Linked DNA regions of Alligator mississippiensis. The protein of the gene in region 3 interacts with the protein of the main gene of each other region in a pairwise test. Links are inferred from orthologs where the notes say so. Each region holds a gene or a part of one and is shown on either strand. Other genes may lie near its edges. The genes, in order: DCX, FAM110A, RINT1 and CWF19L2.

Region 1 (7,008 bases), on a different chromosome or scaffold from region 3:
ATTTCTTGAAAAATGGCTGTTCTGGAAATACATCCATTGTGACCTTACTGGGACTAACAGATCATATATCACAGAGTGCAGGTCAGCTAGAAACATACTGACAATTTCTGCAGGGGTCTGCAAGTCTCCCGGGGCAGAGCCAGAGAAAGCGATGGAGACTTCTATGTGATTGTGCAAGCTTTACAAGCCCACCTTTCCAGGGTTTAAAGGGAAATGCAATGCTCTTAGCTACTGCAAAATTGCTAGAACTCTGCTTATGTAACTCAATACTTTGCCCTTCTGGGTTTTGGGGACATTTATTTATTTGGTGCAGGGAATTCATTTTCATGTGAGAAGGATCACTGGGATTTGGAAAAGGTGGCTGTTTTGCCTTCTGTAGTGGGGAATGAAGGACCAGAGCACAGTCTAGTGGGATAGGCATTCCTCTTCTGGGCTGAGATTGCTTATTTTAATCTTTATTCACATTTGGATATGATGTAATGATGGGCTTGTTTTCAGTGAGTGAGTTAGTAAACCACTTCAAGTATTGTTTCCCGCGCTAATAACCTATAGATAGCATGAGTTTGAACTCACAATGGGATTCCTATTATTCCATCAGAGGACAGTGAGGTTTGCTTCCTTTCCCCAGAGTGCTGTGGGAGTTTAGCTGCCAGACACCCTAATCATCCCCAGAGAGCATGGAGGATCTCTGGGAGTTGCTGAAGATTGGGATGAACTGTAGAGAAGTCCCACATCCCCTCAGGCACCTTCTAGCCCATCCAGCCCACTTGTACGAGTGCTTCCAAGTGAGCTGACCTGGCTGTGGCTTCATTTACCAGATGCTGCTCCTATAAAGCATATGGGAGGAGATAACCCACCCTTCAGAGAACGCTCTTACCCTCAAGTTGTTCCAGTTTTGTGAACTCATGGCCTGACCAACCTCCACAGAGAGTTACTGGGGTTTGGAGGATTGGTGATACAATGGTTCCTCCCTTCCCTCCCAGGCAGGCAGGATGACGTGGCTCTGTAATGTTGGGGTTTACATGATATTCAGATGTGTGTGGTTCCTATTAAAATAAATCTCAAAAGGAAACAAATGTTATATTGTGAAAGCCTGCCAATTCCAGATCATGTATGAGCTCAGAGTGTTGTGCAGAGAGGCTTTACTCTATAGACCTTTATAAGAACAGTTCCTGGAGGCGCACACCAATCGCACTAATGACTCCTGATACATGTGATATATGGTTAAGGCTTTCAAAAATGACTGTTGGCTTTGTAGATCTGTTTCTGGGTGCTTATTGTGAGCCTCATTAGAAAGTCACAAAGTGCTGAGGACTCCCACCCCTGGAGAGCAGGCTCCTTCAAGATGTCTTATATTAGACTCCAAAAAACTGAAGCTCCCCAAATCACTTGCCATTTCTGAAAGCCTTGACTTTAAAATTCTTGTAAAAAAAATTGTTAAGAGGGGAGCTCAAGTTTGATTTTTTTTCCCCACAGCAGAGAAGGGGTTGTAAATGAAAATTAATGGAACAGATGTGCCTAAGGACCCAAGACTGCTTTGAAAAGACTTCTCTTGAAAGCAAATTAGCAGCTAGAATTTTAGCTATGCTATCACAGAATCCTCACCAGAGCAGTCAGACCTCAGCTAGTTATCATGTACACGGGATGCTGACTGCAAAATGCATCACCCCATCAGGAAGGGTTTCTGGAATAAGGATGCTGCATGGCAGATTTGTGACACAGGAATTGGAAGAGCCAGTGATGTCAGTCAGGGTTTTCGGTGCACCGGGGTTAGGTACATAGCAGCAAATCGCCTTTAACTGGCAGACTCTCTCCATGCTTTCAGAAAGTATCATGATAACTCCAAGATGGAATAAAGCTGCCACTAGGGACTGAACTGCCTTGCCAGGCAGATTTAATTACACAGGGAAAAGACCAAATGTTTTCTACTTTAGGTAAAGATAATTCACCTAATTTAGAACAGGTAATTTAATCTGGGGGCCTAAATTTAACCTTCCTTTTCACATAAATAAAATTATTGATGGGACGATAAGAGATGTATTCCCGATTTCTCAATCACTTATCCTGCCTAAAGTGATTTAGACAGGGGATTGGTTGTCCTCCTAATATAACCTACTTTATATCAGGAGTAACTGTACTGGGGTCAAAGGAAGTATAAATAGCCAGGATCAGCAATCTGTGTACCTCACAGGCTGGATCCAGCCTGTGAAGAGATTGGATCTGGCCCACAAAGGTGAGGTCTTCAGCACACAGCGGTGGAGGCTGGGGAGCACCTTTTCTGTCCTGGGTCATGCATTTCTCTAATGCATCCTGCCAATAGCATCCGCTGCGTCTGGTCTTCCTGCTCTGTGCGGAGGCGCCTTCCATCACCCTGCAATGCCCCACACCACCACATATGTGGCACCACATCAGTGTCGGAGATGGGAAATGATAATAGCTGGTAGGTGAGGATGAGGATAAGTCGAGTAGAGAGAAGGGAGGGCTGGGGTGTGAGGTCGCAAGAGGCAGCCTGCAATTAAAGGTTGCTGACCCCTGACATTAGTATGTGACAAATCTAGGTGGGCCATGTCCACGGATTCCCCAAAGTGTGCTAGAAATGGCTCTCCTTCACATATTGCATTTGGTTGCCCCCAGCTGTCTGTAGTGTCGGATTCAGTGCTCGTTAGCGTTGGGGTAATATGGAGTAATTCACAGTTACTCTGGATTCATGTTATTGTAAGTCACAAAAGAAACTGGTTTGAAAGAGTCTTCATCATCGCTGACACTGGGGCTACTGACTTATCTTCTTTCTCTGATAGTGGCTGGATGAAAGAGGAACTAATATAGAGGAAGTGCCTCAGGCATCTTTCCAATCGTTTGAGGGACAAGGCGGGATGAGTGCTGTGATCATCAGCTAGAGAAATTGTATCTCTGTCAATGGCAAGTGCATAGGATCATGCTGGAGTCAATAGTGATTCTACTTTATTTTTCATTTATTTCAAAAGAAGGGCCTGTCCATGTGCTCTGTACCAGAGGTGTGATCACTGTATTGTATTTTATCTTCTCATTGCTTACACGCAAAAAAAAAGCCATGAGCTGTCCATTGATGCTGTGCTATCTCCCATCAGAATACTTTCCACAAATGGCAAATGATGGTTTGGAGGGTTAAGAGATAACCTTTTCCATTAGGTGTCAGGGTGGAGCTTACAGAAGTTACAGTAAAACAAACAAGAGCACCTTTTGATCCATTTGTTTAAACACTTTCTGTGCCCTTTCAGGATAGATGCAACTGAAATACATATCGCCCAGAGAGACTTCATCTGTGTCACTTCTGTTGTTTTAAAAACGTATTTGTACAAAGCGGGTACTGATACAATGTACCAGGCTGCCAACTCTGGAGAGTGACCTCCTATACCCCTATAATACACTTGGTTTGAAAAGACCTCCTCAGGGGTGACAGGATCATGCTGTTTCTATGGCCCAATCTATCCTGGACCAGATGGAGACCAATAGCAACAGGGGTGTGAATTATGGTGGGTTTTTTGCAGTGTATAACTCACAGGGATCACCACCTCCTTCCAAAGAGCAACCAGAAAATGTGAATGGCTTTCAGATGTTTGGCTTCGATGACAGAAATGTAAAGAATCAGCTGTTGTGAAATGTCTGTTGCTGGAATGAGAAAATTATCCTCTTCTAGCTTTGGATTTGACCCAGAATCAAATCTATTGGGCCCAATTTGGATCCAGTTACTCAACTCTGTGCCCCTGGGAAATTTAAGAGAAAGGGGGTTCAGGCCCATCCCAAAAATATTAACAAAGAAAAATTATGATAAGGTGCAGCACTGCAGAGCCACAGTGTCAAATTCTCCTTTCCTTTACAGCCACAGAAACCATGATGAATTTGATGAGCTGTTCATGAGAAAAGAGCTGGGCCGCTTCGCCTCCCCGCGCACATTTATTCACTTTCTTGTGATATGCTGGACATTCAAGTCAAAACTGGTTGCATGCTACAGAGTGAAAGCTCTTCCCCCCTGCAGCTGTAGTCCTTTAACACTGCCGCATACATCTAATTACTCCCTGCCTGCTCCCTCCAAACTGGGGCCAGATGCTGCTGGGGTGATTAGATCAGCTGAAGTCAGTGGGACTTTTGCTTCCAGTAAGCAGTGAGCAATGACTTTGGGACTGCCCCCTTAACTCTTCTTGCTTAGCTATAAATGCAGGCAGAACTGGAATGAAGCTGTTCTTCTCTGTGACAACACAGCCAAGGAGATTTTAAACCAAGGATCAGTCACTCAAAAACCACTGAGGCAGAGTTTTCTGATGAGGGGCGCACAAGGCACTAGGACCTAGGAGAAGTCTCATCCACCCTGGCAGGAATTTCTTGCTTGGAGCTCAGACAACAAAGGCAGAGGGAGCTTGGTTTTCTTTCTCTCAGCATCTCCACCCTGCGAGCTGAAAACCGGTGAGTAGAGCTTTTATGAGTGACTTCTATGCAGAAAGAAACAGATGTCAGATACAAAAGGGAAACAAGAAACCTTCTTTTAAGTGTGTCACAGCATCTGCAGCTTCCAAAAAAAATCCTGGAAAAACCTCCCATTCATTTGGAAAGTTGCTTGAATATTCCACTGCATTATGCATGCCATGAAAGCACATGTATCATAATTGGCACTGAGAGGGGAAATGTTTGCAACTCGGGATTTATGTGAAAATTGCTGGCATTACCCATTGCTGCTCTGCTGCATGTTAGAGACAATAATGAGATCTTGGACAGGTCACGGTGACATTGTAAAATACAGAAAATGGGACCTGTTCTGGCAAATCTGATGGGTGGGGAAAGAGAGCAACAGCTTTTTCTAGGATTGGGAGCTGATCGCTGAGCCACTAGATTTTAATCCCATTTCTGTCTGGTGTGAACACACTGCTAACGTATGTGAGGTGCATGTTAAATAGTTTTTGCCCAGTGGAGTGACAGCCTTGGAAGGTTTTCTGTATTGCAAGTCTAGGGGGAGTCTTTTGGTTTTATTGCATTTTTGTTTCTTTGGTACTAAGTTTCATTTAAAGAAAATACAAATATCGCCCATCCTTGGTTTTGATCTCTGGCTCAGTGCAATTTTCCCCAGAGGGCTGCCTTTCTTGGGTTCCAGTCTCTCTCTTTCTCTCCCTCCCTGTAATACACCACAGCTCAGAACAATGAAAGGTGTGCTTGCAGTGGCATGATGTGAATATTTGCACAAGGATAGTTTCCACAATGAAATCACTTCCTTAAGGATGGGAAGGTTTGGGTAAAAAAAAAAAAAGAAAAAGAAAGATAAAAGAAATACCCCATTTTATTTTCTTTTTTTCCCCTTCTGATTAAATAGGACCAGAACTAAATCCAGGACAGATTTGTGAACTGACAATAGCTCATCGAAACCTCATAGCAATGACAGATTTTTCAGACATTTTTTTTCTTGGAAATGTAGGATGGTCTCAGAAATTGATTGATGGGCTGAGAGGGGGGCTGGGAAGTGGGGGAGGGAGTGCTGTATCTGATTGCTAGCCCTTATTGACCAGCCTGTCACAAAGAAAATGGCTATTCCCCTGTGACCATTCTTTCAGAAATACCAGTTTTGTCCTCATTTGAAATATTCAGACACATTAGGTCCTTCTGCGATTCCACAGATTGAAACCTAACTCAGAGGGATCTGCTCATTCTCTGCAGCCAAAGGAAATCTTGCAAGGCTCAAGGGTTTAATTCATTACCAACCGTTGTTGTTTGGACAGGATTTGGGAGTTCTGCTTATCATTTCCCTGCAGTTATCCAGCCCAAAGTCTCATTTTACTGCACTTGGAAACAGCAAGGAACTTCAGTGTGCAAAGTCTAAGCTGCTATTCAAAAATATATCCCCTCCCCCATAATTGGATCCTTTTTAAAAAGCCCAAGATCCCTCCCTCTTTCCCCCCACCCCCTAGAATCAATACAAATTTAGGTGAGGGTGAGCAGGATACAGGTCACTCTTAAAATAAACCAATTCTGCTCTCAAAAAACAAAAGCCCAGGCATGGAGTGCATGTAATTTCTCCCAGATTTTGGTTTTGATCAGTCTAATATATTGTTCATATTCTTTCCTCCTCATTTCCCTCCACTCAGCTTCAGATCTTTAGGGGTCACCAAACTATGGAACTTGATTTTGGACACTTTGACGAAAGAGATAAGGCGTCCAGAAACATGCGAGGCTCACGTATGAATGGCTTGCCCAGCCCCACTCATAGTGCTCACTGTAGCTTCTACCGAACCAGGACCTTACAGGCACTGAGTAATGAGAAGAAAGCAAAGAAGGTGCGTTTCTATCGCAACGGGGACCGCTACTTCAAGGGGATTGTATATGCTGTGTCCTCTGACCGCTTCCGAAGCTTCGACGCTTTGCTGGCTGACCTGACCAGGTCCCTGTCTGATAACATAAACCTGCCTCAGGGAGTTCGTTACATCTACACCATTGATGGAGCCAGAAAGATCGGGAGCATGGATGAACTGGAAGAAGGTAATTAGCAATGTCCGACGGTTGAGTTACGGTCAGGTGAGGAGGTGGGGGAGAACTATGTAGCACTGTTTGGTTGTGACTCGACAGTCACATTTCTTCTGTGGCCAATAGATGACACTATACTATTGTCTGTATTGTGGAGTTGTAATTCATTGAATGGGCAGCCAGAGCTTTGGGGAAGTGACTGAAAAGCATTTTAGAAATAAAATAAACTATGCAAATACAAAAATGAGGCATTGTGATAGAAAGTGTGTATGAGTGCGTGTGTGGGAAGGGGTTCTGCATACCTGTACTTGAGGCACGTAAATATACAGGCATTTCTGGGTAGGGGTGTTTCAATGGATATGGTCAGAGGTGTGCATGTCTGTGTGCCTGCAGTTGCAGGTGTAGTGCACGGTATACTTGGGGGTGACTGTGTGTTTGAGGGGACTGCACAGTATATCTGTGAGTGTGTATGGGAGTAATTTTTGGGCACACTGTATCTGTATGTGGATGTGTGTGAGTAGCATA
Region 2 (7,205 bases), on a different chromosome or scaffold from region 3:
CCAGCCTGGTGGCACCTGCAGGCATGCACCGCACCCGACACAGCCTCAGTTTTCCCATTTCCAAAGCTGGCAGTTCAAGCAGGCTGGGCTGGCGTGCATGGTGCTCAGGGGGCCAGCACGGGACCGGCTTTCCCAGCCCCCCCAGCTTGACAAAACGGGTCACGTTGCTGGTTAGTGACTCTGTTTGGCCCTGGGTCCTGAGCCAGGCACAGACGGGACTTGGAAGAGGGGAGCCTGTGGGGGCCGGGGTGCTGGGAACGGGGAAGGGGGTGCTGCAGGTTGCCTGCAGCTCGGGACACATTTGCATGCGATCTCCATGTGAATGGAGCAGGTCAAGTTGAAAGTTGACAGGCTTGTGCCTGGGGGTCCGGGCGGGGAGGGGCCAGGGCGTGACAAAAGGAGCCGGTCCCCAGGGGCCCGCCCGCGCCTGCCGCTCCCGGCCCCACCGCCAGCCGCTGGCGCAGCCATCTGGGGAGAGGGCACCCGCCGGGGCCCTCGCGGCCGCATTCGCCGTCACAGTCATCAAGTGGGAACAAAGGGGCGTCGGGCCCGGCCGTGGGGAAGTCCGCGCCCGGTAAATCTCCATCTGTCAGCCTCCTGCCCATGCCGGTCAGCTCGCTGCAAAGCCCAGACCTTGACCCCTGACCCCGCAAGTGTGCCTCCTGTCTGCGGGGCCGCCGGCCTCTTGCACATGCTGCTCGCCCCCGGACGTGGCTGCCTCGTCGGGACCCTGCGGCGGGTTGTCCCTGCTCGGGGGCAAGATGGAGAGAGGGGAGCAGGGACAGGAGTCACCATCCACCCACCCTGGAGGAGGCAGCAGAGATGGGGGGACACACAGGTGCGACGTCCTGGACACAGGAATAAATTGGGACAGGGACACAGCAAGAAGGGTCCTCGGGCTCCAGGGGCAGCTGGCAGGAGCCATATCAAAGCACCAAGGTCCCTGGAGATGCCCAGGCCCCAGCTCTGCGTGTGCCCGGGGTAGCCATGCCCCGGCGCCTGGAGAAGAGCTGACAGCCCCTCCTTTTCTCACAGGCCCCACGAGCAAGGCATACTCTGGACCCACTCCCACGGCACAGCCACGCCAGCTCCTTCCCTCTGCCCGCCCCGCAGGAAGGTGACGTGCAGCCCCATGCCAGCCGGGCATCAGAGTGCCCTGCATTGGATGCTCGCTCCCTGGCACACTCTGGGCCTCACCATGCAGCGTGCGGGCAGAGGGGTTCATCCAGACCAGGGCTGGAGAGGCCTGCGAGGGCGTTAATACACCTGCTGCGGTTGCAGTGAGGCTGGGCCCAGGGAGATGCATGGTGGGGATGCAGGGCACTGCTGGCAGGGATGCCCCAGCTCCTGCTGCCACGGCATGGACATAGACCACCGGGCAGCAGCTTGGGAGCCACAGCAGCCCACTGTGCAGACACTGGGTGGCTCCTATATATCTCGGTCTTAGTGCGGGGGCTGGAGACTCGGTCTGGGTTCAGAACAGGGGGGCGGAAGTCCTGGCCCTGAATTCACGGGGCTGGGACCTCTGGACGATGTTGCTCTGGCTCTGCCCAGCCCCGGCCGTGGAGTCCGAGCCTGCCTGCGGCCTCAAGCACTCACCAGCAAGGGGTTTCTGCCCCTCGGGTGGAGCCGCAGGCCAGGGATGTCCTCATGAGTCTCTTCTTTTGGGGCTAAGCCATCCCTTGCAGTCTTGGTGCTGCTGGCGCTCGGCCCCCTGATCCATTGGCAGGACATGGCCAGGGAGCTAGCGGGTAGGGGACTTGCCAGCTCCCCTCCTGCTTGGGGCTGTGCCCGCTGCCTGCCAGGCTCTCCCCTCCCTGCTCCGGGGAGCCCGGACCTCGCAGCGCCGCGTGCTAGAAGGGGCTGATTGTACTCGCCGCTCTTGTTCTGCAAGGGCAGAGCCTGCTCATTGGTGGCGTCAGCTAACGAACCTTGGCAGCGAGTCTTCCCTCGGCTGTTACAGGGAGGGGCAGGTCACGGGCTCGCTGCAGGGCTCCAACGGCTGCCTTCAGCTCCGGGAAGCGCTCGGCCTCCCCGGCGCGGGGTCTGGGAGCCCAGGGACCGGACTGCACGCAGAAGGCGGGTGGGATCGCCATGCGCTGCACTTGCCGGTCCATTTTAAAGGGGAAATGGCCCATCCCAGCTGCAAAGGGGACAGCCATCCAAGTTTGCTCTGGAGAGAGAGATGTTTGCCATCCTTTCAAGCATATCCAGGCATTAGCTGGGCTGAGCCAGGACCACGGGTGCCTGGGAGACGCCTCGTGCTCCTACTGGGTGGCAGCTTCGGCTCACCTCCCCGTCATCCCGGGGGATGTTCCCCAGAAGGGTGAGGCCTGTGAAGCTCTCCCCGTCATCCCGGGGGATGTTCCCCAGAAGGGTGAGGCCTGTGAAGCTCTCCCCGTCATCCCGGGGGATCTTCTCCAGAAGGGCGAGGCCTGCGAAGCTCTCCCAGGTGGACTGAAACGCCCTGGGGAGAAGGTGCCGACTTTCGCTGCGGAGCGTGTTGGGGCAGCTCCCAGCAGGAAGTCGCTGCCAGACAACCCGGAGCCCATCACGAGCCACCAGGCCTCACGCGTGCCCCGCTAGGATAGCCGCGGTCCCAGCCAGGTCTCCGTGCTGCCCTCCCCCTGCCCTGCCTCGCTGCTCCAGCGGAGCCAGGGTTGCATCTGCGCTGCCCGTCCAGCGCGACAGCAAATGTCCGGCTTTCACTCCCATCCCTTTCACTTCATCAACTCCCCGTCCCACTTGGCAGAGACACCACTTTCGGGGTTGTTTCCATCCCACTGCTTTGCTTTGTCAGCTGAATCGCGGACTCTGGTGCAAAGCCGGAGCAGCTGTGCGTGGCCAGGGGGCTCCTGGGGGTGCAGGGAGGGGGGTATCTTCTCTTGCAAGGCTCATGCAGCAACCACAGCCCCATGCCTGGGCTGACAGCCGGTGGGCGGCCACGACCCCCTGCTCTGTGCTGCCCAGGTTGGCCCTGCTCTCTTTAGCGCACCGTTGTGGGGTGCAGAAGACAGAGCCCCTCCCTTTAGCCAGTGCCGGGCGACAGGATCCAGCCCCATAACTCACTAGCCCTGATCCAGGGAAGGTGGAGATGCCCTTTCTCCTCCCGACTCGGTGATAATGACATCTGTGATGCCCGCCCCGGGCTCTGGGCTGTGCATGCAAGGCTGGGCAGGGAGAAACTAGGATGCCCCCCACCCCCTGCGGCCCCGTGTCGGACCCCAGCTCCAGTCACAACTGCCCAGGGGCTCTGGCACGTCCAGGACTCGCAGCAACTGCTCTTTCTGGGTCAGGAACCAGCAGCGCATGGGAAGGCGTCTCCAACCAGGGCCCTCCCCATCCCCGACAGCCCCCGGCCCTTGGAGAGGCTGCCAGGGGAAGGCATGGGGGCAGGGCTTGCAGTAATAAGGGGGCTCGTGGAGGAGCCCCAGGGGTAGCAGTGCTCCCCCACTTCACCGCCGGGTGCAAGCAGGGTCCGTGCCGGGGGGGCTCTCTTTCCCAGCACTGGAGGGGAAATGGGGCCAGGCTCTTAGGAAATCCTCCCGCCGCCTCCATTCATAAAGTCCCCTGCAGCAGTCGCCTAGCGACCTCGGCCGCGCGCCGTTCGGAGTCAGTGGGAAGGAGGCGTGAGGGCTGCGCTGCCCGGTGAGCCTGGGCCCCGACCCCCTCCCCTGGAGCCGGTCACCTGCAGACCCCCTGTCCCAGGATGGGGGTCCCCCCTGCATCCCCAGCTTGCAGCTTCTGTGTGGCAGGGGGGAAGCCAAGGGGGCAGGTCTGCATGTGGGGCTGGCCCCTGAACCCAGGGGGGTTCCTTTCCCGGTGCGCTGGGTGAGACCTGGTCCTGCCCGGTTGTGGGGCGGGGGGGGGGGCAGGCTGGGAAGTGCCCTGGAGCGGGGCTGGGCACGCTTCTTGCAGAGGCACGGCTCCTCCCTACTGGAGGCTGTGGCTGCCTTCGGGCAGAGCCCGGGGGACCCCCAGATGAGTCAAAATAGGGTTAGCTTTGCAAACAGCAGCTAAAGGAGCAGCCCCGACCTGGGAGGAATCCCCCCGGGACTTTTGGCTGTTCTCTGAAGCACAGAAGAGGGCTGGGCTTGGCAGTGCCCCGAACTGGGATCCCTGTGGGCAGTTCCAACCACACGCCAGCATGAGCAAGTGTGTCCAGGTGATGAGCATTAGCCAGCGCAGCTGCAAGGCATTCCCATCACCCAGGGCATGAAGCAGGGGAGGCAACAGGGAGGCTCCAAGGAGGACCATCTGTTTTGTGGTGCCCTGGTCAGTCAGCTCACTGTGTGGCGCCTTGTCCCAAACCGCAGGAAGCCCAGCTCCCCCGGCCAGGTCTGAAGGATAAAAGAGTTGGAAGGAGCCAGCGTATGATTTCCCCGAGCTGAGCAGCACCTCGAGCTTGGGAGCCCAGCTGGGGTTTGCACCTCATCCCCAACAAAACCCTCTGCTCGGTTGCATTCGTGCAGTCGCACGGTGCTGGGTCGGTAAGTGCTTTGCCAATCCTGACCGCCATGCTCGCAAGAACACGAAGTCTTGGTCTTTGTTGCACTCGGGGAGGCAGCTCTAGAGGCCCGGAGAGAGCCGTGTTGGCGGAGGCGAGTGTCTCTGTACCCCTGTTTCAGGCTCGGGCACTGATCTTTCACACCAGATCCATCCAGCTGGATTAGCTGTGCCTGAAGGGCATCCCGGAGGTGGATGGGTTGTGCAGGAACCAGGAGATTCCCGGTGATGAGTCAGCAGGGAAGTCACCCCATTGTCTGGATGCAGCTGAAAAGCCCCCAAATCTCAGCACAAAATGAGTCAAGGAGGGGCTGCATCATAAAGATAATCCCTGTGGGTGGGTGGTTATTGCAGGGCGTGTTTGATCCCTCCACAGCTCTTGCTTCATAACCTTATCAGGCCCTTGCTGGGCTCTGAAGTGGCAGCCGGGTTCAGGTGACTGGGAGCCGGGGCTCGCACCTCGGCGGAGCCTATTGTTTCGGTGGAGACGGTGCTTTGCAGGGGAGGCGAGGGGGGTGGGGGTCACAAGTCTGTGAAATGGGTGGGGGGAAAAGCTGAGGGGTGCCCTAAAAGCAGAGGTCGCCCCCACCGCGTGCTCTCAGCTGTGCCCCAGGGCTGGTTGAGGAATAGCTGTTGCATCCTGGACTTGCCATCCAGCACAGGGCACCAGGGCAAGGGACCCAGTCCTGATGCGGTGGGTGCGTGAGGGTTGCCTTGTATTCGCTGGCCTCCCAGACCGTGTTGGCAGTGCCTTCGGTGCCAAGCCTGGGAGCCCAGTCAGGGCAGAGCAGATTGTGCCCTATAGAAGTGGGGGGCAGGGGCACCTACCTACCTGCCTGCCCGCCCCAGAGGCAGGGGGCAAGGCCCACGCCCCGGCCCTGGAGGCCAGACTGCCTCTCTCCCTGCACGTCCATGCCCCCAGTGTCTTGCAGCAGATGGGGGTAGGGCCGGGGCAGTGTTGTGTGCTCAGAGCCAGCTTCTGCATGACGGTGCACAGTGACTCCCCCGTCTCCATCTGTCCATCCGTCCATCATGCCGCCTGCCCTGGATGTCTATGCGGGGGCCTGGCCAGCTGTATCCAGGCCCCTGGGGAGAAGGGGACGAGGGCAACAGGGCCAGGCTGGCAGGCCCCCTCCTTGCCCAGGGGCCCTTGCCCTCCCATGCAGCAGCTGGGAGCTCTCTGGGTGCCAGCCCATTGCTCTGCCTTGCTGGGTGCTGGCTCCTGCCTCTGGCCCTGCCCTACCTGGCCGGGAAGGTGTTCCCTGTTTGAGTCTAAACAGGAAGTGGTGCAAGCAGGTGGGCCAGCCCTTCCCGGCTGCAGGGAAGCAGGGAGCTCCCGGGAGCAGCTGCTGGAGCAAGGGGGAGGCCACGGGGTGAGTGACCTGCCATCTGCCTGCCCCTTCCCCTTCCCCCGGCCTAGGGTCCATGCCAGACTGCGGAGGGGGCTCAGGCGGGCAGCACTGAGAGGCTGCCGGCCGGCCTCTCTGCCGGCCCCTTTGCCGGCTCGGGTGCAAACATCAGGGTTCAGAGTGCGAGGGCAGCAGGGCACAGAGCGGGGGGCCGGGGCCCGGGAATCCCCTGGCTCCGCTGCAAGGGCAGAGGCAGCCCCGGAGGGCGCGGGGGCAGCTGGGGTGGGAAGGGACAACCCGCAGCGGGGATGGTCCAGGATGAAGCAACCTGCTGACGTTAGGAGCCTGCTGAATGTGAAAGCAACCTGACTTCCCCAGCACTGGGGGCCTGCGGGGAAGGAGAGCGACTGCGTGGAGGGGGCAGAGCAACCTGGGAGGACGGGGGTACCGGAGCAGCGACCGGCTGCCTGGGGTCTGGCTTGCACTGGCTGAGCGCGGTCGCGGTCCCCTGGACCCCTCGGCAGGCTGGGGCTTGTGGGGTCTGCCTCCAGCGCTCTCCCGGGGTGAGCACACGGACACCTCCTCCCTGTCGGAGCTCCTCCGGGTGCCAGCTCCGCACGCTGCTCCCCGCACCCGTCTCGTGCCGGCGGACGGCAGCTCTTTGTGGCACCTTGAACCTCGTCTTCCCGCCCACGGGGCGAGCTCTCCCCGGGCATCAGGTCCGACCGGTTGGGAGGCCTCTACCAGGCATCTGGGAAGGGGTGGCAGGGGCGGCGGGGGTGTGGAGAGGCGTGTGCCTGGGTGCAGCCCGGCGCCCTTGGCGGGCAGGTTGGGGCAAACCTCCCCACTGCCAGGGGCTGTTAGCAGCGTGCCACGTCTTCTGGAGAGCCCCGTCTTGCCCTCAGCGGGACAGGGTGGGTGCTGGGGTACCAGTAGCCAAAGCTACAGACATTTCTGCTTCAAGAGAGGGGACACTGGGGGCAGGTGGCACGGCCTCCCCCTGCTCCCCCCAGCCACTCGGTGACTTGCAGGGAGTGTCTGGAGCTTTGCACAGACCTTGGGGCACCCACCTGAGATCCTCCCGGGGATCCTCCAGCCCTGGCCTGTGGGATGGGAGCAGGGGGCTAAAGGGCTTGGGGGGAAGCCACCAGCCCTGGGATAAGGGTGCATGTCTCAAGCAGGCTGTGAGCCCCGGGGGCAGGTCCAAGGGGGTCCCGGCAGCTGGTTTGAAGTCCCCCTTTCCCGAGGATGAAGGAGGGGAGGGCAGGCTGGGCCCCTGGTGGCGGGTGCAGCCAGCTCCGCATGTCTGGGGGTGGCCGGCACCTGCAGGGCAGGGCACGGGGGTCAGCC
Region 3 (7,401 bases):
TGTCTATGAAATCTATGAAATATGCTGTGCTTTGGTTTTGATTTGACCTGCACAGTCAACTAGGTGAATTCATAACTTGATTTTTGGTTTCGGTTATTATGCAAGTGTATTTACCCTCCTGTTTACAAATCAACAAAACACATATGTACTCTCTCTCACACTTCCTAGGGATAATCACCTGAAAAACATTAATTACAACTCTGAAACTGCCAAGCTTGCCTAATATTGTATTGGCATCAATTATGAATTTTATGAAACAATGAATTTTTAGAAATGGAAAATTTCCCACATAAAAATAAAACACTGGAAAATTTTCCACCCCACATCTGAGCTGAGCTAGTTCACAAGAATGACATAGTATCAAAGCCTTACTTACTACTATCTCCTATTAATCTCTAGGTGCTACTAAATTAATAACCTGAGGATATGTTCTAGTATTGTTCCAGATATCAAACTTAGACTGACTGGCCTGTAATTCTTTGGATCCTCTGTTTTCCCTTTTTTCAGTTTCTGGGACGTCATACAACATCTATGAGTTCTCAAAAGACAATAGCTAGTGGTTATGCAATCATTTCAGCCAATTCCTTCATTAATTAAGGAGCTATTGATTTTTAAATATCTAGCTTACTTAGGAAACTTCTAACTTGTTCCTTCCTTCCTTCCCAGGAGCTCAATACACACACCCCTCCCCTCTCCACAGTAAAATATACATGATTGTTTACTTAAGGATGTAAAAAAACCAGCAGTTTTTCTGGCATTACTTAAAATATTGCAACACACTATTTACCTGAATCCAAAACAACCCTCAATAATTAAAACAACCCGCAATAATTAGATTCTATATATGGAAAATGTATACACTTGTTTTAATTTTCCATATATAGAATCTAATTATTCCATCTTAAATCTCTTCCCCCCACACACAGTGCTGCAGCAGGGAAAGCAATGGCAAGGGTGCAGACACTAGGGGGCAGGGGCAGTAGCAGTAGCTGTGGTTCCAGCTGACCCCAGATCAGGGCCAGCGCCAGAGCTGCAGCAACTGCCTCCCCGCCACCACCTCCCTGTACTCAAATCCAAGATGAGGGGCTTTTTCCCACCATGTTAAACAGGGGGAGAAAGCATCGTTTTGGATTTGAATAAATACAGTAAGTACATATATGGTTTGGCAACGTACAGTAAAATCGCTGATATCTGGCACAAATGGGGAACGAGGGAGTGCTGGTTCTGTAAAAATGTGGGTTACCTGAGGGCACAGGGTTTCCACCCAGACATGGAGCCGGAGTTGGTGGCAGCAGCCATATGCAGAGTGGGGGGTGGTGGCTGCATGTGGAGCGGAGGTAGCGCAGTGTGGTGGGTAGCAGCAGCCACATGCAAGCTTTCCCCCCTGCTCTTCTGTCATACTGTTTTTACTACATTAGTGAATTTGAGAACTGTGAGAATGCTTACCTGCTCCTCCAATTGCCTTTTGTTTTCTGAGAGCTCTTCTATTAGCATGCCAAGTTTTGTTAGGGAATTACGATCGTTTCCAATTTCTCTTTCCACAAATTCAGATACATAGTAGGGTATATCACAGTGATCTGGATCTCTAGCGACTAGTTGTCTTCCAACTTTAATGGCCGCCATTTTTTCTTCACCTGCAGCACTGAATTACAGGATATTTAGTTAGCCACCACCAACACAGAACTACTGACCACCAGAGTGAAATAGGGCCAGAGAAAATTCAGTTCAAAACTATTCTGTGAAAATACTGCTTCCATAAGACTATCCACATGCATAAGTTTTTGTGGGGATATGGCCTTTGATCCACAAAGTATGACACACACACACACTCATCGGCTGACGAGTGCACAGAACCAAAACACAGCTACGAGCAAGAAAAGTTAACCAGCTTTTACTCCTCTGACACTATATTTCTAAAAGCTACTTGATTTTTGGACAGGCATTTAGTAAGCAATCCTACTCAATTTACTAAGATGAGCTGTGTTTGGGGAGTTTATGCATACTGTTGATATACAGGAGGTGAGGGGGTGCGTGAGTGTATGCGTGCGCGTGTGATCTGCTTTCATAAATTATTTTTTCTGTAAGCCGCCCTGAGCCTGTTTTGGGAAGAGCTGCAACAAACATCTAGTAAATAAGTAATTTTATTTTTGGTTTAGCATATAAAAAAATAATCGAAAATGTTGGTCCAACTCCTGCAACGACCTTCGGCAGCTTTGAAAACAGTGAAATTCACGTGCGAGAGCTGTCTGGTCAGGTTATCATCCCTACCTCAACCACCAGATTAAAAATGTGCAAAATGTGTCAAATATTTCATATGTGCAGGCAGCTGAAGAAACCCGCGGCCATTTGAACATTAGCTTAAAACTTCTTTGAAAGAAACGCGTGGAAAAGGGGGAAAAAAAACCTAGAAACCATTTATACTCGTTAGTCTGGTCACCGCACCAGCAGCGGACAGGCTTGGCCCGTGACGCTGCAGGCGGTGTCTTTGCCTTAGTGCCTTTTGGCTGCTTCAGTCCGGCACAGCCGCAAGGGAGAGGAGAGGAGGGCAGGGCAGGGCAGGGGAGCGGAGCGGGCTGCCGGCCGCGCTGTCGCTGTCGCTGCGGGCAGCCGCGAGTCAGCGCAAGGCCCGTTTGTGGGAGCAGCGCCACCCCCAAACCCCGCGAGGAGTGACCGCGGTCGCACGACTCGCGCAGCAGCCGCCCACCGGGACGAGTCTCATCGCAGCACCTGCAGCAGGGCCGGGCCGGGCCGGGCCGGGCCGGGCCAGGCCGGGCCGGGCTTCCCCCCACTCCGCTTGCAGCCGCCGCCACTCCCGCCGGGCCCTGAGCCCCGCCCCTACCGGCCGCGTCCACAGCCCCAGGTCCCGCGAGAGGTGGCGAAGCCGCCCGAGCGCGCGGGTCACGTGCCTACAGCGCTAGAACAGAGTACCTGCCACGCGCGAGACGCACACGCGAGGAGGCCCCTCCGGCGGTTGTTGCCGTTATTGCAGTTCCGCCTCGCCCCACCCCCAGCGAGGGGCGGAGCCTGGCACTCAGCCCCGCGCCCCGTGGCCAATGGGAGAGCGCGGTTGGGTTGGGCCGGGCCCCGCCCCGCCGCAACGCGCAGGGCAGTGAGGGGCAGCCAGGTTCCCGCCCCCGGGCTATCCTGAGGCGGTCTCGAGGACGGCGCACAGGCTGAGGGGTGGAGGGTGGCGCTGTGCTGGTCTAAGGACGGTGACAGGCGAGGTTCCGCGGGTAAATCCCAGATCTTTAATTAGACCAACTAATGCAGCTTGGTTGAATCAAAAAGAGCCCGGCCTCAGTGCTCTGACGAGGAGCAGAGTTAACCCAGGGCTTTCACACAGGAAGCCTAGCTGTGCTGTTCTGCCACAGAAAACCTGCTCCATCATGTCTGCTATAGGCAAAAAGAGCGGGACGCAGGAGTGGGCATTGCCCAAGGGCGCCTCTAGGGCAGCCAGAAGTCTACACAAAGTTTGGGAGCAGCTACAATAGTGTGTGCTGAGATGTGGAAACACCTCTGTGCCCCCAAAGGCATCTCCCTCTGCTCCCAACTAGAGTCAAAATTTTGGAAGTTTTCTGTTTTACTGAACACCATTCTGCAAACCGCCACAGCGGGTCGGGGCACCAGCCCACCCAGGATGTCGCCTTTAACCAGCTGAGAGTTTTTTTGGGTTTTTTTTTAAAGAAATGAACGGGTCAGCCATACTAGGAACAAAAAATGGCATCCACCTGCAAGCACATACTGCATCTCCACCGATACTTCGGGCAGTTCATTTTTTTCCCCCCCTCTCAAGAAAAGATACTTATGTTTTTGTATTATTCGCACACAAATCCAATGCTCAAAAGAAGACACAAACAACTTGGACTATTTACACAATTTATTAATTCAAGCAGCAGAAAACAAGTGTGTTTGGTTGGTTTTTTAAAAATTATAACATCGAAAATGCAACAGAACTGCTGTTAGAATGGCTTTTTAATCCTTTGGTGCCGGGAGATTGGATTTGCCCAGCTCATCCACTGCCAGCAATGGACCCACCAAATTTCTGGTGCCCAGAAATTAGCTGTTATTCATGAATACTCATCTGGACTTTTTGGTTAATTTGTTTTTGTTACCTGTTCTTTTGTACAAGTACTCTTAGAGATGAAAACATGCACAATATTTTCATAATAAAATTTAGAGCTCAAATAATTAAAAATAGCTGTATCTGTTTACATCACATAAAAAGGAATTAAAAGTTTTGCCAATCGATTCATTTACCAATCAGTGCAAATGCTACTGGCATTCCAACGCTACTCAAATGTACTCCTCTGAAATAAATATTAATTCTTCAATTGTATTTAATAATTCTTCTCTGTAACATTAGCATGCTTGCAGTGACTTTTATTCTGTGCTGAACTGATGAAAGTATATTCAATGCTCTCTGTACTTATAAAGAGAAAAGCAATTTAGTATTTCCAAAAATCTGAGATTGCTGTCCTAAGCCCATTTCTTCTTAAACTGTAGTTGTGCTAGAGCTTAAGTACATTATGGGCTCAGGTAATTAAGAAAGCCAAAGCATTAAGTTTTTTTTTGTTTTTTGTTTTTTACAAACACCCATATTGCAAATAATTATTGAATTAAATGCTTAAGCTAAAAAAAAAAAAAACTTAAAAAAATACAAACTTTTTTCTTCTAAAAATATTCAATGGTTTGCACAGGACAGGAAAATATGAAAACTCATTCATATTTTAAAATCTTTATGTAGTTTTACAGCATTCATTCAGCGAAGCCACGTAGTATTCAGCTGTGTCTGGTTTTTTATACTCGTGTCCATTTTTAAGACTTCTCGAATTGCCATGGTAGCGTAAGTGGAAGGAGGAAGAGAGAACTCCATCTTCAAGGCCCTGAATTTACCCTCTGTTAGGTATGAAAGAAGCAAATAAACATTTCTGATGCTGTTCTGTCATCACATCATTTGTCCTATTTTAAATATTTTCTCAAAGTGGTAATCTTAGCATGAGGTTCACAGATTGTAGGAGGCTGGAAGGGACCTTGCAAAATCGGGTCCAGGCCCCTGCCCTAGGCAGGAAAGACAACTGGGGTCAAGTGACCCCAGCGAGGTAACTGTCCAGTCTCCTCTGAAGATTTCCAGGGTAAGTAATTGTACCACCTCTGGAGGGAGTTTATTCCACAGTCTGGACACCCTGACTGTGACAAAGTTTTTCCTTGCATTAAACCTGAAATGGTCTTCCCAGAGCTTGTGGCCATTACTCCTGGTTTTCCCCAAGGGTGCCCTGGTGAACAGTTGTTCGCCAAGCCCTTGATATAGTCCCCTGATGTAGTGGTAAGCTGCTACCAAGTCCCCTCTTAGCATTCTCTTTTTCAGGCTGAAGAGTCCCAGGTCCCTCAGTCTTTCCTTGTATGGCTTGCCTTGCAAGTCTTTGATCATACAGGTGGCTCTTCTCTGGACTCAAGCAAGGCCCCCACAGTGAGGGAGGGAGTCAGGTTAGAGGCTGGGGTGAATGGGGCCCTAAGGGGTCATGGGACAGAGCTGCTGGGAGAGGTTGGGGGGGGGGCACGACTCACTGCCGCTCACGCACCCCTAGGGGAGCCATGGGCAGGAGGGCCAGTGCCCCCCAGATTTGTGCCCAGGGCAGAGGCAGGCTACCTGCTGTGGGCTGGGGCTCTGCTGCCTTTGCCCTGGGAGCCATGCACTGGCCATGCATCCCTTGCCCAACCAGTGGCATTGTGTGGCTCCCAGGGCTAAGGCAGCAGGGTGCAGAGCCCCAGCCTGTAGCCTGCCTCTGCCCCAGGCACAAATCCAGGGGCCTCCCATGCCTCCCCTGGAGGTGCATGCAGGAGTGGGGAGCCTCCCACCCCTCCCCTGTGCCTCTGGACAAGCCTCCTGCAGCTGTGTCGCACAACCCCTGACCCAACCCGTCTGCCTCTGCCTGCCTTTCTGTGTGTCTGTCTGCTCCTTGCTCACAAGCCACAACCCCCCCAGCCCCGCTGCTGCCCCTTGCTCCTGACCTACAGTATACCACATCCTGCCAGGGTATGCAGGGACCCTCCCCCCCCTCCTTGGTCTCCAAACTCTGTCCCCACACACACCCACAACTTCACAAATAACACCCTCCCTGCCCCCCCCCTTCAAAAATAGCATCTCACATTCAGATCTCTTGATTTTGAAGAGTTTGTTTCAATTTTTGACAGGGTTGGGGTTGGCAATACTGTTCTAACAAACTTTATACTACACCAGGTCTGTAAAAATCCATAGAAATATTCTTACTCTTACCTTTAGGAAGGACAGGTAATGGTTTTTCCTCCAATTTGTCCAAGTCCGTATTAAATAATGGGATTTTAGGATCATCATATACAACAACCTCCCTTTATAAGACACAGGACAAGACCTTTTTATATTTAATTTTGAAGTATTCAATACTCATAAGTTTAACACACAGTTCCCTAGTTTGGGCATAATATGCAAAAAATATAAAAGATTCACATATATCATGCCAGTGAACAAACTGCAATATTAACCATGAAGTAGATGCACAGGAGAACAAGGCCTGTTAGCATTTTTGCAATCCTACTATTTCAAATATATTTCCCTGTATACTACTACTAACCAGTTGACATTCTGAGGTCGAATGATGATCTTTCTGTAAGCTCCAGATAATGAGTAATCTCTAATTTTGTGTCGCATGTTGTTGATATCAAGATTGTCAGCAGTTAGCATTTCCTTGTAGGCATCACCAACTGCAATAAAAGGAATCTTTAAATAAATGAAACATTAAGTAAACTTAGTCTTAGCAGAACACTCAAAAATATTAATTTACAAGCAATTATTCCCCTGTTTTCAAAATTCTTGAGATCTCAGAAGAGATTTAGCATATACAATGTTAGCAACTCCTGTAAAATATCTTTTTTCATAAAGCCCCACCTGCTGGAGTCATGTGATCATGCAAGAATCTGTTTCCATTAAAATATTTTTCTAGTCCTGATCAAGAAAACACAACTGTAATCTATGTTAAAAACCTCATAATAAGAGAACTATACATTTATTTCTTCTAAAAAACCTTATGGTTTTTGGCATCTTACTGGACAATTCCTGAAAGTTAGCAGTTTGCAAAACCACACATATTTCAAAAAAGGAAAAAGGAAAGGAAAAAGAAAAGGAAAAGGAAAGAAAAGAACAGGAAATAATTGTTCCTGTTGCTGGAAGTGACAGGAACAAGCCAAGTGGGAAAACTACTTTAAAAGCACAGGAATAAATTGATAAGGAAATTTAAATTAATGCCCTAATAATGCTAAACCATGTTTTAACAGCCTTATACCTCCTTTAATTCAGGGATGTCAAACTCAAGCCACATTCCTGCAGGATCCAGACTGCAGAGCTTCTCACAGGCAATGGAATGAACA
Region 4 (7,183 bases), on a different chromosome or scaffold from region 3:
GCAGCTTGTTTTTCTGCAAGAGTCTGCTGATAAAAGTTTTTGTGATGGATAAAAGGGTTTGTTATGGCACACTCCAGCTACATCTGAAGGAAATGGCTCCTGGTACCAGGAAGAAGGGGAAAAACAATGATAAAGTGAAGACAAACCCCAAGTTGTTGAAGAAAAACAGGAAACTGGCCTAACTGGTAGCTATGAGACCAAAGGACTATAAATATTACCCCCCTTTCCCTTCCCCTCTCTCTCCTCCCCTTTTTCCTTCTCCTCCTCTCCTACCCTTTCCCTTCACCTCACCCTAACAATGCCTAAAAACTGAAGACATCTGATCTCCCTTCAAGGAACCAGAGCCCACTTTGAGACACCTGGCCAGCACTGGATGTGTGTATTAGGACTAGTAATATATAATTACTTGCTTGCTAAGATTGTATCTTGTTAATATTACTGAAACTGCTAAGATTATATCTATATGCATGCTTGTAGTTAATAACTTGTAAGGCTCAATAAAACGAATTTATTAAGAAAATAAATGGGTTCTAATTTGGAGAAAAATAAATAGATAACTGGGTCCTTGGTTGGAGGGAACATATAGGTTTTCATTTGGAGAAAACTGAAGCACACTTTAAGGCAATATCTATCCTACTGTTTGCTCTCTCTCCATTTGAGAGAAGAACCAGATGCCCCCTGGTTCTTAGGGCAATAGTGCCACGAGACCCTTTCAAGGATGCTGTGGTGCAAGTGTTCCCACAATGGCCAGACAGAACTGCCCCACAAACCTTGTGCACAGCCAAATCAGGAAGGGCTTCAAAACAAGCTGCACTCCTGCCTACATCAACGTTATCTGATTAGCCTCAAGGAGACAGATGAGCCTGCTCCTGTCACAGCTCTTTCCAGTCCAACCCCAGACTGTATCTCCTGGAAACAGAGGCACAGTGGACAGATGGAACTGTCCTGTGTACCTCTGTTTCCAAAAGAGATCAAGGGGGGCAGGTGGAGAATAGGGAGGGCTGTGGCAAGAGCATTTCTATCTGTTTTAGGCTCATAAGATAATTGAAATGCATCCAGGAGTGCATGCTTTTGCCACATCCCTGCCTGGTCTGGGTCTACACGAGGTACATAGGATAACTGCACTTGGCTGTGGTGGTAGTAGCTCTCTGGTTGAGAACCACCAAAGTAAACAGAATGGCACAAACCCCCACGGTGGTCTGGGGAGTTTGTAAGGAGTTGTGAATGTTTTCTTATATTTATTTCACTGATACAGAATGTGAGGTTTCACTGGGAAGGCCATGTTATGCTATATCTACTTATGTCACTTTTCTTACTGTATAGATGGTGTTATGATGTCTGTATACATCTTTGTGTTTCTGGACATCTCAAAGAACGGAGGGGTGCATACTTAAGGAATCCCAGACAGGCTGGAGACATCATTGGGTTGGGAACTCAAGGAACTGCCTGCCTGTAATGGGGAAATCTTCTCCTCTCTAGCAAAGGCATCTGTGAGAAAACACCCATCACCCAGAGGAAAGTCAGATGTCCCTGAAAGAGAAGTTTCTGGAGGATTCTGGAGACCCAAGAAAAACTGAGACCATGCTGATGGGAACAGGAGGGCAGTGGGCAAGGGTGTTTATAAGGTAGCCAAGGTCTTTGGATTTTTTCCAGGCTGGAGAGGAGTCCAGGACCCCAGCAGTCACGGCTGGTAGTATCAGCAGGGAGGCTGATCCCTAAAAACACTAGCAGTAGTCTCAGGAAGACTAGCATATAACCAGATAACACAGCAAGAATCTCTTTACTGGTCTTTTTGTTCCATCTCCAGGCCTATAGTCAGTTTTTCTTGTACAATTCTATCTTACTATAATAAAGCCTTTTGCTGTTTTGCACACCTTACTCTCTGCCTGTGGAAGAGAGCAGTCTCTGGGCAAGAGATATTTTAGGCTCGCTCATTCTATGGAAAGGGGCGGCCTAAAAGTTGTTACACAAAGCACAGGGGAGGCCACGTGGGGCTGCCCAAGATTCCGCTGCTGCAGGTGTGAGGTCCAGGCTGGGGCAGTGGAGCTGAGGTTTGCTGGAACAAGGAGTTATCCCAGAGCAAGCTTTGTTTGGTTCCTCAGGACAAGCAGCAAGATGGAAGGGAGAACCTTGGAGCTCTGGGGTACACCGTGAATGGTGTAACGGGCAAACCAGAGAGCAGCTGGGAGCCCTGCATACTCCTTGCGACCGTTCCCTGCACAGAACATGCAGCCTTACTTTCTCCCCATTCCCCTCTCCCTACAAGGGGTCAAGCAGTAGAAACTACTGCTACTGTATTTCCTGACATATCATGCACACCCTGATTTCCAGGACCGGTTTTTATTTTGTTTGTTTTTAAAGGAAAGGTGTTTGCACACATGAGCAAAATACAGCATTATCTAAGACTTGCAGGTTATGCACAACAAAAAAAGCACTTTGAAAAATTTGTATACACAACCTATAAGAAGGATCACACCAGAAAGCCGTGGGAAGGAGGGCCCTGCCGGCAGCACCACTTGTTAAACCGTCTCCCCAAGACGAAGACTTATCACACACTCCTCCCGGCTCAGCTGTCATTCATAAAGCACATTTTTCATGTCCCCAGTGCGGGTGAAACAAGGAATTGAAGTCTGTCCAGCGTGAACACTGTGCCATCGCAGAGGCTGGGGCAGGGAGGGCCGTGCCCTTCACATGGCGCCGCCCGCAGCTAGGAGGTCTCAGCCCACAAAAATAAACCCCCCTTCCACGGGTCCGCCCCTCGCAGGCCAGCGGACGAGGGGACAGCAGCCAGGGCCCAGCGCCCCGCTTTGGACAGGCAGGGCAGGGCCCTCCACGTCCGGCCGCCGGCCCCAGGCCCCGTGCCGGGGGACCCGCGTGCATCACCTGCAGCAGCAGCGACTCGCGATCCCACCGCCGCTGCTCCCTCCGCGCCGCCAGGCTCCGCTCGCTTTCAAACCCGGACGCCATCCCCGGGGCTGCCGGAAAGCACCGCCAGGCCGGGCTGTAATACGGCACTGCTGGGAAAGTGTCGCAACAGGCGCCGCTCGGGCGGGGAGGGGGGGGGTCAAGGTCCTCCAGCAGCCGGGCGGAAGTGACACCCAGGTCCCGCACCACGCCGGAGCGAGTTCTACTGGGACTCGAGAGCCTCGTAAGGCTGCAGTCAGAATCGCGGGTTCGAGTCCCTGCTGTGGATATTGAAATTTTCCCCCAGCACGTTAGACAGAGAGCGCTGAGCGCTGGCTGTGGGTTGGGTGCTTTGGTCAGCGATGATCCTGCCTCGACCCCGGGAGGTCCCTCCCAGTGCTATTTGTGTAGGGTCCTGTAAAGGTCTTAAAATGTAGGTTTGCCAGGTGCCAGAAGGGAAGAGGTAATCAGGGCTCGTGGGCAGAGGTGATCTCTTTTATTAGAGCAACAAGATTTTTGCAAAAAAAACCAAACAAAACCTTTATTTGCAAGCTTTGGGGCACAAACACCCTTCATCGGCTTTGGAGAAAAGATGGTAAAAGTTCTGCTGGGTGGAAACGAAAGCTTGTATTTCGTAGGATTTCTCAGAGGGGTCCGTAGATGCAATCAGCATTCTGAAGGCGGGTCAAGTCGCGTGGGACAGATGAATTGGAGATCAATAAACTTTCATAAGCAACAGCTCCAGGGCTGTCCAGCAGTCACCCTGTCAGCCGTGTGTGTCGTTGTCGTTCCCCACCCCCTGCCAGCCATGGTTCCCCTTATCGCTCTAGCTCTGGGGCAGGGTGCCAGGGCACGGCACAGGAAGGCATGCCCGCCTCAGGGTGGGCAGTGGGGAAAAGGCCAGGGCTGCACTGCCACAGCAAGGATTGGGCCCCTTGTGGCTCTCCTGCCATACTCCCCTGGCACACCGGCATTGTACAAGTTGAGCTTCTGGGCGTTTTTTGGTGTTCTGCCTAAAAATATTACTGACTCCTGCTCTAGCAGTCCGCAGCATGTGGCCTTGGTTTACAGGCAGCAGGCAGTGTTCAGCAGCAACAACCCCGCTGCATGGGCTCCCTCACCTTATTTGCTTCTACTCCCCATACACAACTGGGCCCTGCACTTCCCATGGCAAAAATCCTGGCAGGGTGAGGCGTTGGGAGAGCACCATTCCACTCAACCCCTGCCCCTGTATACTACTGAGCTCAGGGCTGCCTGACTTCTATGGGCATTTATACACATACTTTTTTGTCCCACAATACGCTGGACATTCACCGCTTTGGAGCAGACTCAATTAATTGAGTCTGCTCCGCACGCGAGCTGAGGCACGCTGCGCCACACTGTGTGCGGTTGTGTAAGTTGCAAAATGTACATCAGCGTGTAGAAAATGGTGGCAGTGGGCTTATGAACTAAAGCATCTCCAATGTGTTTTAGTTCAAAAGCACGTCACCATCATTTTCTCGGCACTGATGCACGTTTCACTGCTAATACAACTACATGTGTCACAACTGCAGCACTTACATGTGTAAAAATGCCCTGGGACTGGGCCAGGCTGCTGTAACAAAGACTCTCAAAAGGGGTATTCTGGTGTCCTCTGTAAGTGAGCACCTGAGGCAGGTGTTCCACTCCCTAGTTATACTACTGGTCTGTAAGGCCACAGACCTGCAACAACTTTCTTCCTGACTTCAGACTGACATCGTGAACTCTCTCTCAGATTATTCTGAAAGAAGGGAAGGAAATGAGAAAGGAATTTTCTCAAGGGAGACGGATAGAAAATTAAACCTGTCAACTGTATTTTGGCTTGTCAGCATTCTTGAGACATGTTCAGTAAAACCAGAGAAAGGTCAAAAATAAAAAAGCTTCCAACCTTTCCTACTTTTATACATTAAAAAGAAAACAAGAAGAGCGTAGTATTTTTAAGATCTGCTGCAAGTTACCTTGATGACCAGCAAACCACCCTAGCTCTGTAAACTCCTTGCAGAAAACAACAAGTTAATAAATGAAAACCTATATGCATCCATACCTTGTCTCCACCAGGGAGATACCTTTGTGCACCATATCTCAGTTTGAAGAGTATCTCTCTGTTCTCTTAAAACGAGCTGCATAGTCAAGTGGTGATTCCCATGGTAAGTTATCTTATAACCTTCACTGCTACCACTTTCTTTTAGTGCATTTTGTGATTTTTTTTGTTCCATAGAATTGTGAAAAAAAGAAAAAAAATATATGTTTCCAGGAAGTTTGATTCTGTACCATTTACTTCAAGTAGAGAATAAAGTTTCACCAGAAAAAGAAAATGCTCTCCCTTTGAAAAAACAAAATTTGTTTGCCACAGATGATAGCTGATAGTCCATTTGGGTAAATCCTGCATGTTGCTGTGGGAGTTTTTTATCTGAATCAGCAACCTATTCTGAAACAATAACATAAAAGAAACATCAAAGGCAACAAGGTGGCTAGAGAGTTAGGTGCATGGAGGCTAAAATGGACTGAATCTAATTCAGTTCTTAATTTGTTTATTTTTAATACACTCCCTTTGTCAGTGTGTTACTTGTGTGTCTGAGAGAAAATGATAGCTCAGCTTCGGACAGGAATTTTCTGTGGCTGGTGAAAGTAAAAAAGTCAATCTCATGAGAAATTATAGAAAAAAGCAGATGATATAATCACAGAGAAGGGCATTTTTCTTCAATAAAAGTTTTACTAAGTTTCCTTCAAAGAAAGAAAAGGTGGGTGTATATAAAATTAAGTGCCACAAAAATGATAATATACCATCTGACAATGGAGCGGTCAGCTCCACTGAGCTGGGTGAAGGTCTGAGTTGTTCAATAGCATATTTTACTTTTTTTTAGTCAAAAAGAGTCCTTGGCACCAAACTTCAGCAACCAAACAGACTGTTTAACACTGATGACATAGAAAGCCTCTTGCAAATAAGAGTTTAGTTTTCAATAAAAATGAAAAAGCAGACTGCTGTAAATCTAATGAAGATCCATCTATTGTTCCATATTTAATATCAAACCATGTGTTGTCTAACACTAGGCAATAAGTATTTTGTTAATTTGCTTAGCTACTGAGAACTCAAATGGTATTGTTAGCTATAGTTAAGACACCTAAGAGACAAAGTTTGGAACTAAATCCATTTTCCTCAAACTTCAGGATTGTTTGTACCCAGAGTTTTCATTTCATGTCATTCTCTAGTGACATTTACTAATGTTTGTCATAAATGTTTTGTGACAAATCTCTTTGAAACACATACATATATATTGCATATAAAGTGACAATTTTTCAGTATTTTGTTTTTTGAACAGGTTGTTCCTTTTTATGAGCAGGAAAAAAAACCTGAATCAAGTGGGTACAATAACAGCAATTTCTGTTTTTACTGCTACCTCAGAAAAGGCTTGTGGTTTCTAATGTCCATTCATGGTCAGCTCTTTTTCTCTTATATTTACTAGCCTAGTTCCCATCATCTTCCCCAACAAAACTTTCCTCTCCTCTCCTCTCCTTCCCTTGCCTTTGCCTTTCCTTTTCCCTTCCTTCCCCTTCCTTTCTGCTGTACTCCACTGGACCTGAAAGATCTGCAGGTTCCTGTAACACTTAGTAGCTGCCAATACCACGATGAGATATAAGCAATAATCTTGGCCATTTGGGACTAAGGCAGACATTTCTGTAGTGTTACAAAGCTGGTAGCACTACAAAGAATACAGTGCCGTGGGCAGGCACACATGCACAGTCCCTTTGCTGGAACAAGAAAAAATTGTCGCAAAGGCACATTCTTCAGCCAGAGGACAATATGGCATAGCTCCATAGCTCCCTCTGTCCCCAGGGCAGCCTCCATTGCAACAGCTGACTGGGACCAGGGACCCTTGGTAGCCTTTGGTTTCCAGCGGCCTAAAAGCTCCAGCTGCCTGCAGCATTTTTGGGGTACATCTATCAGTTTTTTTATGGAACAAAAAGCCTGAATGTGGCCACAAGCTTTTTGTTGTGCTAAAACAGTAGATAAATGGGACAAAATTAACACTGATCTAAACTCTAACTCAGATAAACTGACTGGAGCCAGGAGCCTTAACTAGCCCTGTTGGGGCCTTATTACACGGTAAATTTGGGTGGCTCCTGGATCTCCTAGCCCCTTTGATGGTCCACACATTAACACCTTCAGTGGTTTAAACCTTAAAGCCCTTGTTATGCGACTACTGCAGGGCAGGGTTATCTCTTGAGCCACACCACCCAGCTCCTGTTCCATTAAGTCATG

What was found.
Region 1: the proteins of RINT1 (region 3) and DCX interact in binary tests that used the Homo sapiens proteins (3 or more experiments, as listed by UniProt). The two-hybrid records come from large-scale screens. The link is inferred for Alligator mississippiensis from reciprocal best matches to the Homo sapiens genes RINT1 and DCX.
Region 2: the proteins of RINT1 (region 3) and FAM110A interact in binary tests that used the Homo sapiens proteins (3 or more experiments, as listed by UniProt). The two-hybrid records come from large-scale screens. The link is inferred for Alligator mississippiensis from reciprocal best matches to the Homo sapiens genes RINT1 and FAM110A.
Region 4: the proteins of RINT1 (region 3) and CWF19L2 interact in binary tests that used the Homo sapiens proteins (3 or more experiments, as listed by UniProt). The two-hybrid records come from large-scale screens. The link is inferred for Alligator mississippiensis from reciprocal best matches to the Homo sapiens genes RINT1 and CWF19L2.

Annotation. Positions count from the first base shown.
Region 1 is NC_081831.1:67,032,061-67,039,068, forward strand, and holds the start of DCX (neuronal migration protein doublecortin), read left to right. Parts: upstream 1-3,999; 5' UTR 4,000-4,440; intron 4,441-6,107; 5' UTR 6,108-6,134; coding exon 6,135-6,498; intron 6,499-7,008. UniProt on the Homo sapiens protein: Microtubule-associated protein required for initial steps of neuronal dispersion and cortex lamination during cerebral cortex development. May act by competing with the putative neuronal protein kinase DCLK1 in binding to a target protein.
Region 2 is NC_081832.1:1,856,871-1,864,075, forward strand, and holds the start of FAM110A (protein FAM110A), read left to right. Parts: upstream 1-4,190; 5' UTR 4,191-4,490; intron 4,491-5,790; exon of another isoform or gene 5,791-5,879; intron 5,880-7,205.
Region 3 is NC_081827.1:26,521,427-26,528,827, reverse strand, and holds the start of RINT1 (RAD50-interacting protein 1), read right to left. Parts: upstream 3,005-7,401; 5' UTR 2,929-3,004; intron 2,887-2,928; exon of another isoform or gene 2,840-2,886; intron 2,832-2,839; exon of another isoform or gene 2,705-2,831; intron 1,643-2,704; 5' UTR 1,624-1,642; coding exon 1,447-1,623; intron 1-1,446. Other genes in the region: PUS7 (pseudouridylate synthase 7 homolog), read right to left, coding at 4,760-4,896, 6,275-6,366, 6,609-6,738. UniProt on the Homo sapiens protein: Involved in regulation of membrane traffic between the Golgi and the endoplasmic reticulum (ER); the function is proposed to depend on its association in the NRZ complex which is believed to play a role in SNARE assembly at the ER.
Region 4 is NC_081824.1:437,556,476-437,563,658, reverse strand, and holds the start of CWF19L2 (CWF19-like protein 2), read right to left. Parts: upstream 3,017-7,183; 5' UTR 2,968-3,016; coding exon 2,884-2,967; intron 1-2,883.